2 linked regions of the Alligator mississippiensis genome follow. The protein of the gene in region 2 purifies or fractionates together with the protein of the main gene of each other region. This does not show direct contact. Links are inferred from orthologs where the notes say so. Each region holds a gene or a part of one and is shown on either strand. Other genes may lie near its edges.

Region 1 (7,598 bases), on a different chromosome or scaffold from region 2:
CATGTAGTCTGCCAGCTCTTGCAATTTTAATGACAAGTCTCAGAGTGCTTTGTGGTCTCCCCCATATCCATTCCTACTTTTCTCTCTAAAGTCCCAGCTCCTGGAGTCCTGGCACTAGAAGAATTTGTTTACATTTAAAAATAAGGCTCAGGCTTTCAATGTTAGAAATTGAAACCACAAAGAGCCCTAAAGCTAAAGAACAAGAAAGCAATTAGAAACTAAAACGTATTTAAATCTCATTTTTCAGTCTGCTGGATTCACATTAATGCTACTCTTATGGATGAAATCAATGCCTCAAGTGCTTAAAGATGCAGAAAATAAGAAATAACTCACATTATACTTAAACATATTATTTGTATTAAAATGGTATCTCTAAGAATTAGGAATAAAGCTCTCTTAATAAAATATCCAGAAGCCATTTATAATATGGATTCAATATTTATTCAAAGAATGTGTTAATTATGGAGTCTTCATTCATCAAGTAGGATGGTAAATAAATACTATTTTTCAGCAAGTTTATCCACTTCATTTTATCTGCAGTTTAAAACAAAGCCTAATCCAACAACATTTGTTTATACATTTTAACCATCAACAAGCTCATATTATTGCCAGATATAACATTAGTTTTCATTTTTTTAGTGAAAGTTAGAAAGCATTACAAAATAAAATAAAACCCATGTTCTATAAAGGACCAATATTTCAAAAGAACTTGCTATAGTGATAAGATGTTATTGGATAACAGTACACACAAAGGCTATTTAGAACAATGTAGTTTACAACAAAGTAAAGTTTTATTAACCAAGACAAATGAGCTGTAGCCATTTTTAGTTATGAGCAGATTTAAAATCCTTTAGGACTGAACTGGGCATCTCAAAGCCCAACTACTCACTTATCAAACAACTTATTTTAGAACATGAGAGGTTTCACCCAAGGAAACCACAGGAATTACTGTTCTACTTATGTTGGAAGAAAGCTCACCAGTAACTTATCTTCATTTGCTGATCTATGGCACAACAAAACAGCACAAAATGGTCAAATTGTATTTTCATGGTTCAGTAACACTGGTATCCTGAAAACAGGGCTAAGTCTCAGACTAGCAGAAAAACAAACACAGAAGCCAAAGGTACCTCTGTTACTTATTAAGGCAGGTAAACCATCAATTTCTACTTTACATATCCACTGCAGTGAAAGGTAAACACCTGTTCTACTGTAACCTGATCTTGAAAAAACTGTCTGGGTGGATGTTTAACCCAGGTGGGTACTTCATATTCTGGACCTGTGAAGCCAGTCAAGAAAATATTTCATCATCTTTGTACCAATGACACAGTAGCACGCCCTTTTCTTAAATGAAAACTTGCATTTCTTTAATGATTATTTCCAGTTCATTTCTTATCCTCTGATCTGATTGTTAACCCAAAATACTTTACCTTGATCCTTTCTTGGCCTCAGAACAACGTTATCACATTTGAGCTGAATGCCCTTTTCAAACTTGAGCTCTCCTCCGTTTGCCAATCTTTTATTCCTATTTATAGAACATATGGAGGTGCAAACATTCAAAATATGTTTAAAAAAAAAAAAAAGAAGAAGGTAACAGGAATGCAATGGCTCCTATTGCCGCAAACTGGTTCCAGGTCCATGCTAGCAGTAACTACTGGACACACACAAAAAGGGGAAAGACGATTGTAACATGTTTAATACTATACGTTCAGTACATAAGTTCAGAGCACATCATGTACAAGTACATGCTTGATTACTTGATACTTGGCTATCGGATCCAAGGAGGAAACGAACCCAAGGGAAATGCAGAGATGCCTGCTCTGCAAAGTTTACTGGCTTCAAAAACCCTTCGTATTTGCTTTAGCAACTTTTAGAGTTATGGGGTAGGCCATAAAAAAGAAAAAACAAAGCAACCTAAACCCCACCCCCCAAGAAACAACAAAACCCATGAACCCAGAAAGAGCAGCCAAATACAAACTAACATGCCAGCCAAAACCCCCAACCCTCCCAAAGAACCACGCAAAGTCCTCACAGCCTCCCAAAAACTAAACTCTCTCAGTCTAAACAACTGAATTTGATTCAAATAGAAGTGTTTTGAAGGACAGAGGAGGGGTCTTGAAGAAATTTCTGTGGTCAAAGACCAATGTGGCCCCAAGAAGATTGGGAGAGTCACACTGCTCAGCTGCAGCATTTTTAAGAAGCCACATCTAAGAGAAAGGCTAAAACCCCAGGGTGAAGTCTAATCAGGTTTTGAGAGGGCAGCCCCGCAAGCTCCTGGCGGAGACGGTTGATAGGAGGCACCAAATGGAAGTAGGTGACTTCCTTACTATGGGGAACAGGGGGCTGGAAAGCACCTCAGGAGGTCATCCTGTCCACTCCCCTGCTCCGAGCAGAACCAGCCCAACTAGACCCCCCCGCCCCAGCCAGGGCTTCGCCTGCCACAGCACTGCCGGGCAGAGCAGCTGCCACGGAGCGCGCCAAGGGCCGGGAGCGCTCCCTCAAGGGCATCAGAGACGCGCTTCCAATGACTGCGCTGAAGCCTTCCCTGCCCCGCTGAGCACCCCGAGGCGAGGAGCAGATCCACCGGCGCCCCCACGTCCTGCAGGAGGCTCCCGCCCCGCCCCAGCCAGGGGGAGCCAAGAAAAGAAGCAGCAGGCGGGAGACGTCCGTACCTCACGCCGCTTTTGCAAGGCCGGCGGGCCGGGCTCCCTGCAACTACGAGAGCGGGGCAGGAGCCCGGGGCTGGCGGGGACAAGCGCACTGCACCTGGGAGGCTCCCCCTGGCAGCGGGGCCATCCGAGCCCCCTCCTCCGGGCCTCCGGGCCTTAGCCCCCCCGCAACCCACTGCAACCAGCTACCTTGCAACTGGGAGGGAAGGGGGGCAGCGCAGCCCCCGGATCTGGGCGAAGTTCAAAGCGAAGTTGAGCCACCACTGGGAGGGGGGAAGGGGGAGCGCACGCAAGGAGCTGCAGACTCACCTACCGGTGCGCGGGGCCTCCCCCGGCCGTGCAGCAATGAGCAGCGCCTACTCGCTCCCTGCTCCGCCCGTCCGGGGACTCCTTCCCCCCTCCCCGCCGGGCCCGGCCGCACCTGTGCCGCCCTGTGACGTCACGCACCGAAACACCTTTCCCCCCCCGGCCCGGGGCGGGAGGAGTAGCCCGCGGCCCCACGTGCGGGAGGAGAAGCCGCACGAGGGGAGACGCCAGCCACAGCCCAGCGGCAGACAAAGCCGGGGGCTGCAGATTCCCGCTCGGTGTTGCTGCTCTTCTTGCGTGAGCCTAAGAGCTGCCTTTACACGGGTCCATCTTGCCCCGTCATCTGTGACACCCGGGGGCAGGGTGGAGGCTGATGGGGAGAGGGGACTGGGAATGGGGGGCGTTATTTCCCCCCCACTGGTTCTCTCTCACTTGCAGCATTTATTTTAAGGTCTAGGGCGGCTGCTCCCAATCTGTGGTACCAGTCCCACCAGTGGTAGCACACAACCTGTCAGGAGTACACATTAGCAGATTTATTATAATTACTTGCTATGACAGAAAATGTGTTGATGGTACCCAAGGTCGAACTGAAAAAATTGCTGGTGGCACTGAAGGCTGTATTGCTTTAAATTGGCAGTGCGCCATCTGTCAGAGTTTGGGAATGAGGGACTTTTGGGGATCATTTGGCTAAGATAGAGTGAGAAAGTCCTCACCCATCCTGGGCTCTTCCCAGCCCCCACAATTGCACCCGCATCCTACTATCTGTAACCGAGTGTGCACTCTCTGTAAACCACCTCCAAACCCAAACGTAGCATCGTTGTGCAGGGTCTCCAGCAGGGCCATCACTGCGAGGGGCCAAATCAAGGCAACAACCTGGGCAAGCCCCATGGTTTGCGGGGGGGTCCTACAGATGGTGCCATACAGACCCCGCTACCACCACTGCTGAGCACCATCAGCTCCGGCCACTCGCCACCCCTCCCATGGACAACTGGTGCATCCTGGCCCAGGGGAACTGCTCTGGTCCCAGTATATTTTTGACTCTATAAAAGCATCACTCTCCCCCTACCCCCTGGCCCCTTGGGTTAGTTGACTGCACTTTTTATATGTAATCTAGTTACCTTTCCTTCCCTACCCCCATCCTGTTTTATGTAACCCCTCACTCTGGGTCCTTTGGATTTCTTTTAGCTTTAACTTTGTAACCTTAAACTTCAACATTTTCTAATAAAGTATCTGAAGTCCCAGACTAAAGAGTCTGGGATGGAGAATGCTTGCCTGTAGTTTCTGGGGACATCTGAATCCCAAGACCTCCAGACTTGGGCCTGCACGTAGGATGCCTGTCAATGGATTTGGGAGTATCCGAAGTCCCAGGTTGAGAGGTCTGGGATGGAGGATGCTCACCAGTTGTAGTGCCATACATGGTGTTTAGAATGATTGAGTTCTGCCTGCTCAATCAATATGGTTTTTTGACTGAGTTCTGCTCAATCAATATGATTTGAAACTGATTTGGCTGACTTCACCTGAAACACAATATATATTAATAAAAAAAAAGTAAGGTCTAGGGACTTGTAATTCAGTGGCTGGTGTCCTTGCTCCCATTTTCTTTACAATTAGAGCTGCCAGGCTCTGGAATGGGCTCCCAAGTGAGGTGGTACTCTCTCCTACCTTGGAGATCTTCAAGAGGAGGCTGGACAGGTGGGGTGATATGATCCCGGCACCTGTTTCTGCCCGGGGCAGGGGGTCAGACCTGGTGTTTAGGCCCCTTCTGACCCTAAGTACTATGATACTATGCTTAATAGCTCCTGATGCCCTTTTCCTCCAATAATTGGTTCAATTCCTTTTGCAATTCCAGCATCTGGTGGCAATGAGTTCCACACTCAAATGACTGTGTGAAAAAACTTCCTTCTAGTTTAAACTTACTACCTACTAGTTTCATTTTGTGGCCCCTAGTTCTTGTCTTGTGTAAGGCAGTAAATAATAAATCCCTATTGACTTTCTCTTTGCCATTTAGGATTTTGCAAATCCTTATCATGTCCCCCCACCCTCAAGTGACTTTGGTTCTGTCACTTAAACAATTGCCCCCTGTTTCCACATCTGTGAAAAGGGGTAGTAATGTATTCCCTTCCTAAAGGATTTGAGATGCATTGCTGAAAAGCACAATAAAAGGGCAGAATAATGCTTTAGTGTTGTAAATCAAATGAAAATAAACCCTAAACAAATATTAAGGGGGGGGGGAGGGGAGAGGAAGTAGTTAGAAAGCATAATGAGTCAATGACTGAGATTAATGGGATGAAATTAAGAGAAGAAACACTTACAAAAACTATCAGAAAAAGTGTTCTAAAGTTTGATTCTGCAGAGAAATGGGGCAGACACAGATCTCTACCTATGTTTTGAGACCAGAGCCTTGCTCTGTGAAAGTACCTGCCAAAGGGAGTGGTGGATATTCTGCTATCCAAGACATGTTCAGTATACTGATTTTTTATTGTTTTCCTTGGAACATACATTATCCCCGCTCCCTGCTCCTCCCCCCTCCCAGGGTGCTGTGGAGAGGTTTCTTTGGGAATACTTACCAACAAAATTTAAAAAACCTTAGGATGAATGTTGTTCTCACAGACCTACTGTATCTCCTCAGCCAATCTTGAGGCATGTGCAGGTATGCAAATTAATTAGTAAAGCTCTATATTGAATATGGGAGTTGCCCACAGTACAAGCCTAGCCTTGCAAGCTGGTGATTATGCTGGTAACACAGTCCAAACTTTCACACAGCTGCTGGTTTGTGTTGGTTACAATTACAATGAATAACTATCAAATCAATTTTATCTTATTTTAAAGTAGCTGTACATTAGTGTAGCACATAGAACAGAGAGTCCTAAAACCTGGATTCTATTCCAAATCACCATGGCCAAATTGAATGGTTTGATCGCCTGGGAGTTCAAGATGTTCAGTATTTTACAGCAGAACTGAACATGTTCTTCTAACCTGGGATCCTTGCTCTGTGTTTTTTCCCCCCTTGTTCATTTCCAGAAGTCACATGTTAAGATTTCAGTGTGTTCTGCAAATTAATGATCAAGTATAGACTTGGATTAATTTTATAACCTCTATATTATATCTTGTTGTTTATTAGAAAAACAGGAATAAAAAAAAACAAAAACGCAACATAACTAAATTAATACTGCTAGTGGGATTTTGACTTGTGTTTTATGGCTTTTGTTGATCACCTTTATCTTTAATATGAAGTTAATGAATGCTTTTGCTCTGAATTTCCTAAATTTTTAAGTGGTGAGGATGGGATAGATTTCTTTAAGTGACATAAAAATTAAATCCCTTTTGAGTGCTAACACTGTTATAAACTTCTAAAAAGATTTATTAGACTATAACTGTTTAAACCACCTAAAGTATTTTGCATGACTTAATTTGAGATCTTTGAGTTCAAGGAGGCTGCAGAAAAGCAATGTACAATATGTGCACCACATATCAATAGTCAAGTTTGCAGTGATTTAAATATAGTCAAGTATAGTTAAAATAAATAAACATTAAGAATGGGTAATGACTACCACTAGGAGTTGAACTTAGGACCTGCAATTGAAGTTTGACTTATGACCTGAATTACACTTGTTTGTTCATTTAGGAATTTTTATAATGCCTACTCCTTTAATCCTACTAAGACCTTAACCTCTACAGTATCTGGTGAAGTTGTACACTTACAAGTAAGACCTGTCCAGTTTGCGTAATTACAGGTAAATAATTAGCATGATGACTTGATCCCAATCTTATGAAATGAGCTCCTTCTTTTTAATAAAAATGATCCCGAGTCTGTGGTTTCAACACATTTGGCTACAACATTATTTACTCTACCCTAGTGTAAAAGCTAGTTGTCTGGCTTCTTGGAGTTAGTCATCTCAATGAAGAATGGGTATTGTAGGGGTTTAAAAGTCTGATGTTCCCATCACAGAATGTCTCTAAAACCCTTTTGGAGTGGTGGGGACATAGGATATGCCCCATTTTGGCTCATGTCTAATCCCTAAAATGATAGGAGTCTACAGAGTCAAGGCAACTTCAGATTGCATTCACTTCTGTTCATTCCCTTGAATTTTCTGTGCATGCAAGTTAATGAGAGAAATGCACACATTAGACCTTCTCAGTGAATCTCTAAACAAGTGTGAATCCAGGGCAAGGATTATGGTACCTTAGAGTCAGCTGGATATTACTCATTAATGGGATAATTTAGGGGGAAATAGTTACTCATCAAGCCTAGACAGATACGCATTTGAAGCACTCTAAATCTCAGAGTCTTTAAATTCATCACACTTGAAGTGTTGTACAAATGTGTGGTGCCAACCACACCTCCTGCAGCATTTTTAAGTGGCTGGGAAGGCATGCATGACCTGGCTTCTGATTGCTAGAAATTCACAAGAGAGTTTTCTTTGGCAGTCCATCACACTGTCCTTCATGGAAAGGGGGGGGGGGGGGGGAGGGGTAAGTGAAGCACTGTGGGATACGTGAGAACTGTTGGAAAGTGCAGATATTTCAGAAGATTCTTCAAAATGAAGTGCTTTACTTCAAAAATGTTCCTCTTTGCAGGGGTGTACTTGGTAGCTGTGTTGGTCTGAGACAAAAAGACATACAAAA
Region 2 (7,624 bases):
CCATGGTATACTCAAGAGAACTTTCAGCTAGAAGTGCACTGATCCATCGGTCCAATATCAGATAAGCACCAATATAAAGAAGATTGGCAGCATCAGAAATTGGCCTGATATGGCTGATAAATGGCCCATGCATGTGCAGTCACAACACAGCACGTAGGCAGCGAGGATAGCCCCGCAGCTTGAAAAGCAGTGTCCAGCTAGTAAGTCTGTTGTGGTGAAAGGGACCGGGGGGGGGGGGGGGAGGGGGGTGCACAGATCAAGGCCCCCCTGCAGAGAGGGAAGGAGAGAGTGGGGCTGAGGCAAGCAGTGCCCGGCCACAGCTCATCCGGGGGGGGGGGGGGGGGGGGGTGGCTCCCACCCGTGCCACTCGCTTGGGGGGGTGGGGAGGAAGAGGCGTGTGCCCCTGGATCGGGGCAAGTGGCAGTGGCAACACTGGAAGTGGAGGCTATGGGGGGGCTGCAGCCACCCTGAAATTCACTGTAGTCCCCCCATAGCCCCACTCTCAGAGCCACCTACCCCAAGCTCAGCCCCAGCCCCGCTCACCCCACGCAGATCCAGAGGCACACACCTACTCCCCCATCCCCTATGCCCTGCCAGACAAGCAGCTGGAGCTCCCAGGAGAGCACCAGACAGACCCCTGCACTCCCCAGACAAACCACAGCTCTGTTCTGCCCCAGCTGGGCAGCCCTTGCCCCATGATAAGGGAGGGAGTGGGGCTGGGGCACCTGGGTCTGCCCCCCACTCCTTCCCTTCCACCATAAGTCTTACCAGCTGGATGCAGCTGTATCAGAAATCAGATCCATATCAGCTAATATGCCTCCTCAAAAATTAGCTATCTGTATGAGCCCCAAAAACCTCTATCAGTGCACCCCTACTTTCAGCACCTGACAACACAATTGCTTCTTAATGCATTTACCTGTAAGAAAAGGCTCCTGTAAAAGGAGTCTATTATAACAAAATTTAAAAGACAGTACATTCTCAAATCCATGCTGCAACCAGTAATGTTTAAATAACTTACTGGTTAAGCTCCTATAAAAAAAAAAGTTACAAGCATGATGCAGATGTTACTGGATAAGGCTCTGAGTACCATGCATGCGATTAGTTTAGCGTAAGAGTCCCTTCTAGCCCATGAAGTCTAGAATTGCTTCAAATAACGTTCTTGAAATCAAACTGCTTATTTTGGCAAGAATCAGCTTTAATTAGTTACAACTAAGATGTTTGTTGTAAGGTTGTATACATCTTGTTTGCCGGTTCTTTAGCCCTTCGCATTAGGGTGCACACAATGGGATTAGTCTAAAATAATTGGCTTTTATACAAGTTAGATTTGTTTTAGTAATGCATTCATCCAATATGTTTCCTTGCAAAAAAGATAAAGTAAAATAAATCAGTATGAAGCCATTTTTGGCCTTTATATGTTTTGTTTTGCAGAAGACTGTCAAAATAGGTTAGAGATCCTTGAGCAGGCAACTGAAAAGCAACCCTTAAGCTACGCATCCTCAAATAGTCTGCAAACCCATTTAAGAATTGTTTGGGAAAAGGCTTTTAGGGTAAACAGAGATCACTCATAGATATTACTCAACTGATGCCTGCTTGAAATACATACACAAAATAAAACAAACAAAACAAAAATACACAAACTCTTGAGGGGCCTAGGACCTCATGGATTCAAAATTACTGCAGTCAGAGCAGCTGACCAGCTATATGACTTTCAGCTCACTTCCATCTGCTTGACAGCGAGCGCTTGCTGTAGCTCATCACAGCACTGCAACAAACGCAGGCCAATGGAGCCCAGCCAATGCAGGTTGCTCAGCAGCAGACGGTAGCCATAGATCTTCATGTTTGAAAGGAAGAAAGTAACCTCTTCAAGTTTACTTGGCAGAGCTGCTTCATGTTGATAAAACACTCTACCTCCAAATGCAAGTATTACCACATCTTAGAGAGATAAACTTAGAAGAGACTAACAAACTCATTAAAGTTGGGCCCCATGTTGTAGCAACACATTGCTGTGTCATCCCCAGGAAAAAAAAAGAGGCAAATATTGAATTTAAAAATGTTAACTTCTTACCACCAAGAGGTCCAACCCTGCAGTGAGAAGCTGAGTTTGCTCAAGTACAAGTCTACCTTCCCAACCGCTAGGTAAAATAAGACTTCGAACAGGCAAGACAACTTACAATCGAGGCTCATCCCCAATTTTATGAGGGTTTTTCCGTTGGTTTGTTTTTGGACTGCGATAGGTTTAGGCTCTGTTTGTATTGCGCAGGCGGTCACTTAAACTCCAGATCAAGGAAATTTAAGCCAGTTGTTTTACCTCGATTATCTAATAGAGGTTTTGTTTTGCTTCAAAGATAGACAGACGGACAGACGTGGGGCTTAAAAACACCGCAGCCCATCCCCAACGCACCACGGCTATATCATCCCCGCGTTTCCCACCTACCGGCGCCGCGAGCCCTGCGTTTGCTCGGGAAAGAGAGTGAGATGCTCGTAGCAGTTTTCACCCCAAATGCACTAGTCCTCGTTAGGAGCCGGAGCGCGTCGACCGAGGTTTTCCCTGCCCGGGATTGACGCTCCTGCCCGCGGACCCGCTCCCCTCCCCTCCCCCTCGCGCTCAAGCCCACGACTCGGCCGGCTCCGACGGGCCACGAGGAGCCGGGGGGGGGGGGGGGGGTCCCCGCGGCCTCTCGACAGGGCTCCAGGGTCCCCCCCTTGAATGACCCGGGGGCTGAGCCTGTCCGTCCCTTCAGACCAGGGCTGCGCTTCCGCGGCCGCCGGGGCCGGGCGAGAGGAGCAGCCCGCGGACCGGGGTGACTAAGCAGAGCTGCGGGCGGGGACCAGGCCCAACCCCCCCGGGCTAGCTCCGCAGCGGCGGGGAAGCAGACCAGGCCTCCCCCGTCCCCTCCCCGGGCCGGGCCGGGCCTCACCGTGCGGCTACAACCGGGTGGCGGCGTCTCCTCAGGCCCGACTGCGGCTGCAGCGGCGGCTTTTATGGGGGCGGGGCGGGAAGGAAGGACCCCAACGAGCGCTGCCTCACAGAGCTCCGGGGCTGCCCGCGCAGATCGCCTGAGCGCTCGGGGCAGGGAAGTGCGGCAAGCTGCACTTCTGAGAGGAAATAGGGGGTGAGGGGGAGGGTTTTCGAAAGGTAAACATTGGGGGCGGGGGAGTGCAGGAGCAGCGGGGTCCTTCAGGCAGAGGCTGTCCGCAGCGGAGACGCGCTTGGTAACAGCGGGCGCCTCAGCATGGAGAAAGGGGATGGAGGGCGGGCGTCCTCACCCGGGTGGGTTTTCATCGCATAAGCTCGACCCTCTACCTCAACCCCGGGAGCAGCTCGTGCAAACCATGAGAGAGCCCAGCTTCCACAAGGACCAGGGCAGTATAAACAGATGCTATTTGCTGTCATCATCCCATTGCATGTCTGACTCCTGCAGGGAAAAGCAGAGTGCAAACTTGATCGGCTATGCCTTCAACTCTAGGGTTTCCTCCGAAGGAGTGAAATGTCCCTGTGTTACATTGGGAGGAAGGTGGCTCAAAAAGAAGAAGACTACTGCGGGGGCTGGGGGGGAACGACTGTTGAAGGGCAAGGATCAATTGGCCAAGCAACGGTTAAATCTAAAAGCTGCACCGACAGCTAGAATTGAGTGTGTTAATGCTGTAAATTACGTTAGAAAGGGAGATGCCACCTCTACTGCAGTGCATGATTGCTGAGGAAAGATTGGCCTAGTGCCCTCCCTTGCAAATAAATTGCCAAGCACTGTTTGGCACGGTTCTGTATTTCAGTGCTTGACAGAGAAACCCTGAATTATTTTCAAGGCCCAGGTAGGTGCCCCGGTTGCGAGCCAAAGCACTAAAACTCAAGATGCAAGAAAAATTATGGTGAAGGAAAGTTAAAAGGCAATATATTCATTTAATATCATTTCAGTTTCTTTAACTAGCATTTCAGACAAACGCAGTGAAATCTTTGGCAACTACCCAGCAGACCAGCGAATGAGGTCTCTACTGTCTAATACATGGTCTTAGAAATGCCAAGGATAATTTAAAGCTGCTGCTTCATACAATTGGCAGCTGTAAAGTGGATATGCATAAGCAATACTAGTTGGAGGACATTTTCAACTGATGCAGGTTTGTGTGGCACAGAGCTAGATGGTGGGTCTGTGAGTGAGACCACAATACATTTAAGCAATGAGCCCGCAAGGAACTCCATGCAGGTGGATGCAACCTGCCCACCCTAACATTAGCAAAGCTTCGTGTAAACAGATGAGGGATGGCAAAAATGGAGCTCTTAAATAGGATCAAGCTCTTAGAGCTAAAACCTCAGGGTATTTAGGTGTCAGGGCACATCCAGCTGAGCATGGACCTGTCTGTGGAGCCACACTACACAAGCAGGCGTTCCTTGAACTACTACTTTGTGGCACAGGTGTTTTTTGACCCTGGGAGATCCTGGGGTGAAAAAAGCCCCCACCAAAAAAAAGAGGGATGGTGCATGTGGTGGCAGTGCACGCCATCCAAAACTGGAGCTTGGCTGGCCGGACCCATGCTCCAGCTGTCGACCAAGCTCCCTGCCACAGAAGCACCATGGCTGCAGGTGCTGGAGGTCCCCAGGGCCCCAGGTAAAACTGGCACATATGGGACCAGCACATATGGGCCAGGTAAAGCTGGCACATACAGAGCCAGCACAGTTGCTGGCCTCAGCTTCCCCTACCCCACCCAGGGTAACCTGCCACGTGCCAGAGTGCACATGGCACGGGTGTTCCCCAGGGACAAGTAGCAGTGGCACAAGGTGTCCCCAGGGAAGCACACATTTCTGCTTGTCTGGATGCACCCATAATGCCTAACACCTTGGGGAATCCTTAGTCAGACCCTGTATACAATGCAGAGAGAATTAGATGCCTTCAACAAGGATCCTGAGAATCCTGAGCAGGGACCCAAGAAAGATGAGCAGGAGTGAAATAAAAAAGAAAGGAGCACCTAAGCCACTGACCTGATTAGCATTAGAGAGTTTCCTCTTCTTGAGACCTTGCTGTCCTAGAATGAGGTGCCTACAGAGGCAAAGTCAGGCCACCTGGAATTCACCCCTGCTTTTTCAGAAGTATGCCCTACCACTGCGTTTGGTCTTGGGGATATAGAGACATCAGAAAAAGCTGAGAGCAAAGTGGACAATACAGACAATATGGCAGCCTGGTAGCTGGGATCATCAAAAAGTAAACAGCATGGTAAAACAGATGGCAAAGACCTAAAATTATACACATGATATAAAAAAAGACATCTCAGTTTAAGTCTTCCTGTTCTGGCACACTGTGTAATATCCTGGTACTCCCTCTGACATTAAAGCGTGTGTGGGAAAGATGGTTGGTTGGAACTCAGTAACTGAGAATTTCTGGGATATTATAGATACCAAAAAAGTTCTCATCCTTCACTAAGGCAGCTGAGAAAAGGATAAAAGTTATCAGAGATAATAGGCAGAAACCTGAGCAAGTATGTTAGAGAGGTCCTAAGCACTACCACAAACAAATCTAAAAAAAAAAAAAATCTTAAAATCAGGGCCTTCTACTACTGATAGACTATTAACCAAAAGTGAAGCAAAAAAGAAGAATGAATGAAAAGAAATGGATGAAATGTTTTAGCTACTGAGATAAGTATGAGTTAAATTATGTCACTTCCAGGGCAAATAATCCTAGTATTTTTCAGCATATAAACAGACAACAGCATTGGGTGGAGGGCAGAAGCCCACTGAAGAACTGATGTATTTCTATTCTATTTCTGGCTCTTCTGCTGGCCTCTTAAATTAATCACTTCCTCACTGTCTGCCTTGATTTCCCCACCTGTGAGATAGGGATAATGAAACCAACTTTCTTCTGAAGTTATTTGGAATCCATCCATATAAGCACCTGAAAGGACTAGTTATGGTTATAAATCATATATTATAAATGCCGGATCCTTGAATCCTATACAGAATTATAAGCTTTAAAGTTTCATATGCAGTACACAGCATGGAACTCAGTTTGCCCTTCCTGATTGCATGAAAGTCAGAGACAACTGCTAGGACTGAGCCCACAGTTCAAGGGGTCAGACTTCTAGACATCATGCTCAGCCTTCAATACCATTTGTGGAAAGTCAGGAAAAGAAGGTGTTAATTCAGAAGCACCTATTTAGGATTAACAGATTATTTTAGTAAATCCTACCTTTCCCACATGTAATAGAAATTAAAAAAAAACAGTTTTTTTAGGGATATGAACAGGTAGGAAAGCAGGTATGTGTACATTAATTTTCACAGCCACTGAACCAGTCAAATGCACTTGGACTTACTCTTCTGAGCCATTTGGCAAAAGGTTATTGCTTCACTCACAGGTAGACTTCTACGATTTATTCTGATTTCAAGTAACCCTTCAACCCCATAGTGCAGCTACCATATACCCTTATTGCATTTCTTGTTATATATTATTTATGCAAAAAGACTGTTGATAGTTCAGGAGAAAATAAAAAATGTGCTGCCGTGATTACAGCACTGCCAGTTTCCATTACTTTAAAAAATTGTCTTGCAGTTGTTCATGACTCAAATAGAAAGCATTCTATTCCTTGTGCCATGACAATGTGAGCCAGCTGTCAATAGTTAAATACTTTTTTCTCGCCCTAGCAGAAGATATTCCAGATCGATAGATCCCACTATGCAGCCACAACTCCACAAAATTCTAATGAAGCCATACAAAGTACAAACTATAAAATCAGAGAACAGTAAGATTATGGTAAGAGACAACAATGTAAAGGTTGAAGCCACTTCTGGAAACCAGGAACTTTGCAATTGTAACCTCTGCTCTGCCACAAACTTCATGCAGAGCCTTGGGTGAGTCACTTGCCCATTCAGTCTCGTTTTCCCTGTTTGTAGAATGGAGAATACAATCCTTACCTACCTCCCAGGATGCTGCAAGGATTAGAAGTGCTAGAGAAATGCTTTGGAGAGGTCAAATATTTTACTTTTAAAAAGAAAATTCAAAATGAAGCTGTAACTCAAAATGTATTTGTAATGCAGACTGACTGACCCATCCTTTTGTAGATATTTAAGACACCCTAATTACCTTGGCACTTCAGCAGTTCTGTCCTAAAGTCAGGGTACATACATTCACCAGTTACTAAATTATTGCATGGTCTGCAAAGTTGAGTAAACAATGCAATAATAATACTAACATAACTTGCTTCCCACAGAAAAAATCAGGAGATTTAAGTCCAGATATTGTAGGTATGAGGACTACATGAGTACCTAGAGAAGTATTATCAGATGGAATAAAACAAACACACACCATGGACACCCAAACTTTAGGCATGGGAGTTAAAAATTACCTCTGAGATATGTACACCTCAGGTGTCTGTCTGGTACTAAGAGACAGAGCTGCTTTAAATGGTACAAAAGTTCTGCAAGGTTCGAAAGAGGCTGCTTTTGAAGTTTAGGTAAAATTGGGGGGAGGGAGGGGTGGGAATTAAAGCTCCCATTACAAGGGGAGGGGACAAATTAATCTTAAAACCCTTAAAGTTTGTAGGCCACCTTTACCTACCAGACACAAACATGGATATAAAACCACGCATGTCACCTATAAATGGGAAAGTTGGAAAAGCAACAGCTACAGATACAAAACTGCTG

What was found.
Region 1: the proteins of SKP1 (region 2) and MTUS1 purify together in Homo sapiens (affinity purification with mass spectrometry; 3 studies listed by BioGRID and IntAct, with this or other methods). This does not show direct contact. The link is inferred for Alligator mississippiensis from reciprocal best matches to the Homo sapiens genes SKP1 and MTUS1.

What each region holds. Positions count from the first base shown.
Region 1 is NC_081825.1:66,037,704-66,045,301, forward strand, and holds the start of MTUS1 (microtubule-associated tumor suppressor 1), read right to left. Parts: upstream 3,074-7,598; 5' UTR 2,976-3,073; intron 2,937-2,975; exon of another isoform or gene 2,856-2,936; intron 1-2,855. UniProt on the Homo sapiens protein: Cooperates with AGTR2 to inhibit ERK2 activation and cell proliferation. May be required for AGTR2 cell surface expression. Together with PTPN6, induces UBE2V2 expression upon angiotensin-II stimulation.
Region 2 is NC_081832.1:70,030,002-70,037,625, forward strand, and holds the start of SKP1 (S-phase kinase-associated protein 1), read right to left. Parts: upstream 3,027-7,624; 5' UTR 2,919-3,026; intron 1-2,918. UniProt on the Homo sapiens protein: Essential component of the SCF (SKP1-CUL1-F-box protein) ubiquitin ligase complex, which mediates the ubiquitination of proteins involved in cell cycle progression, signal transduction and transcription.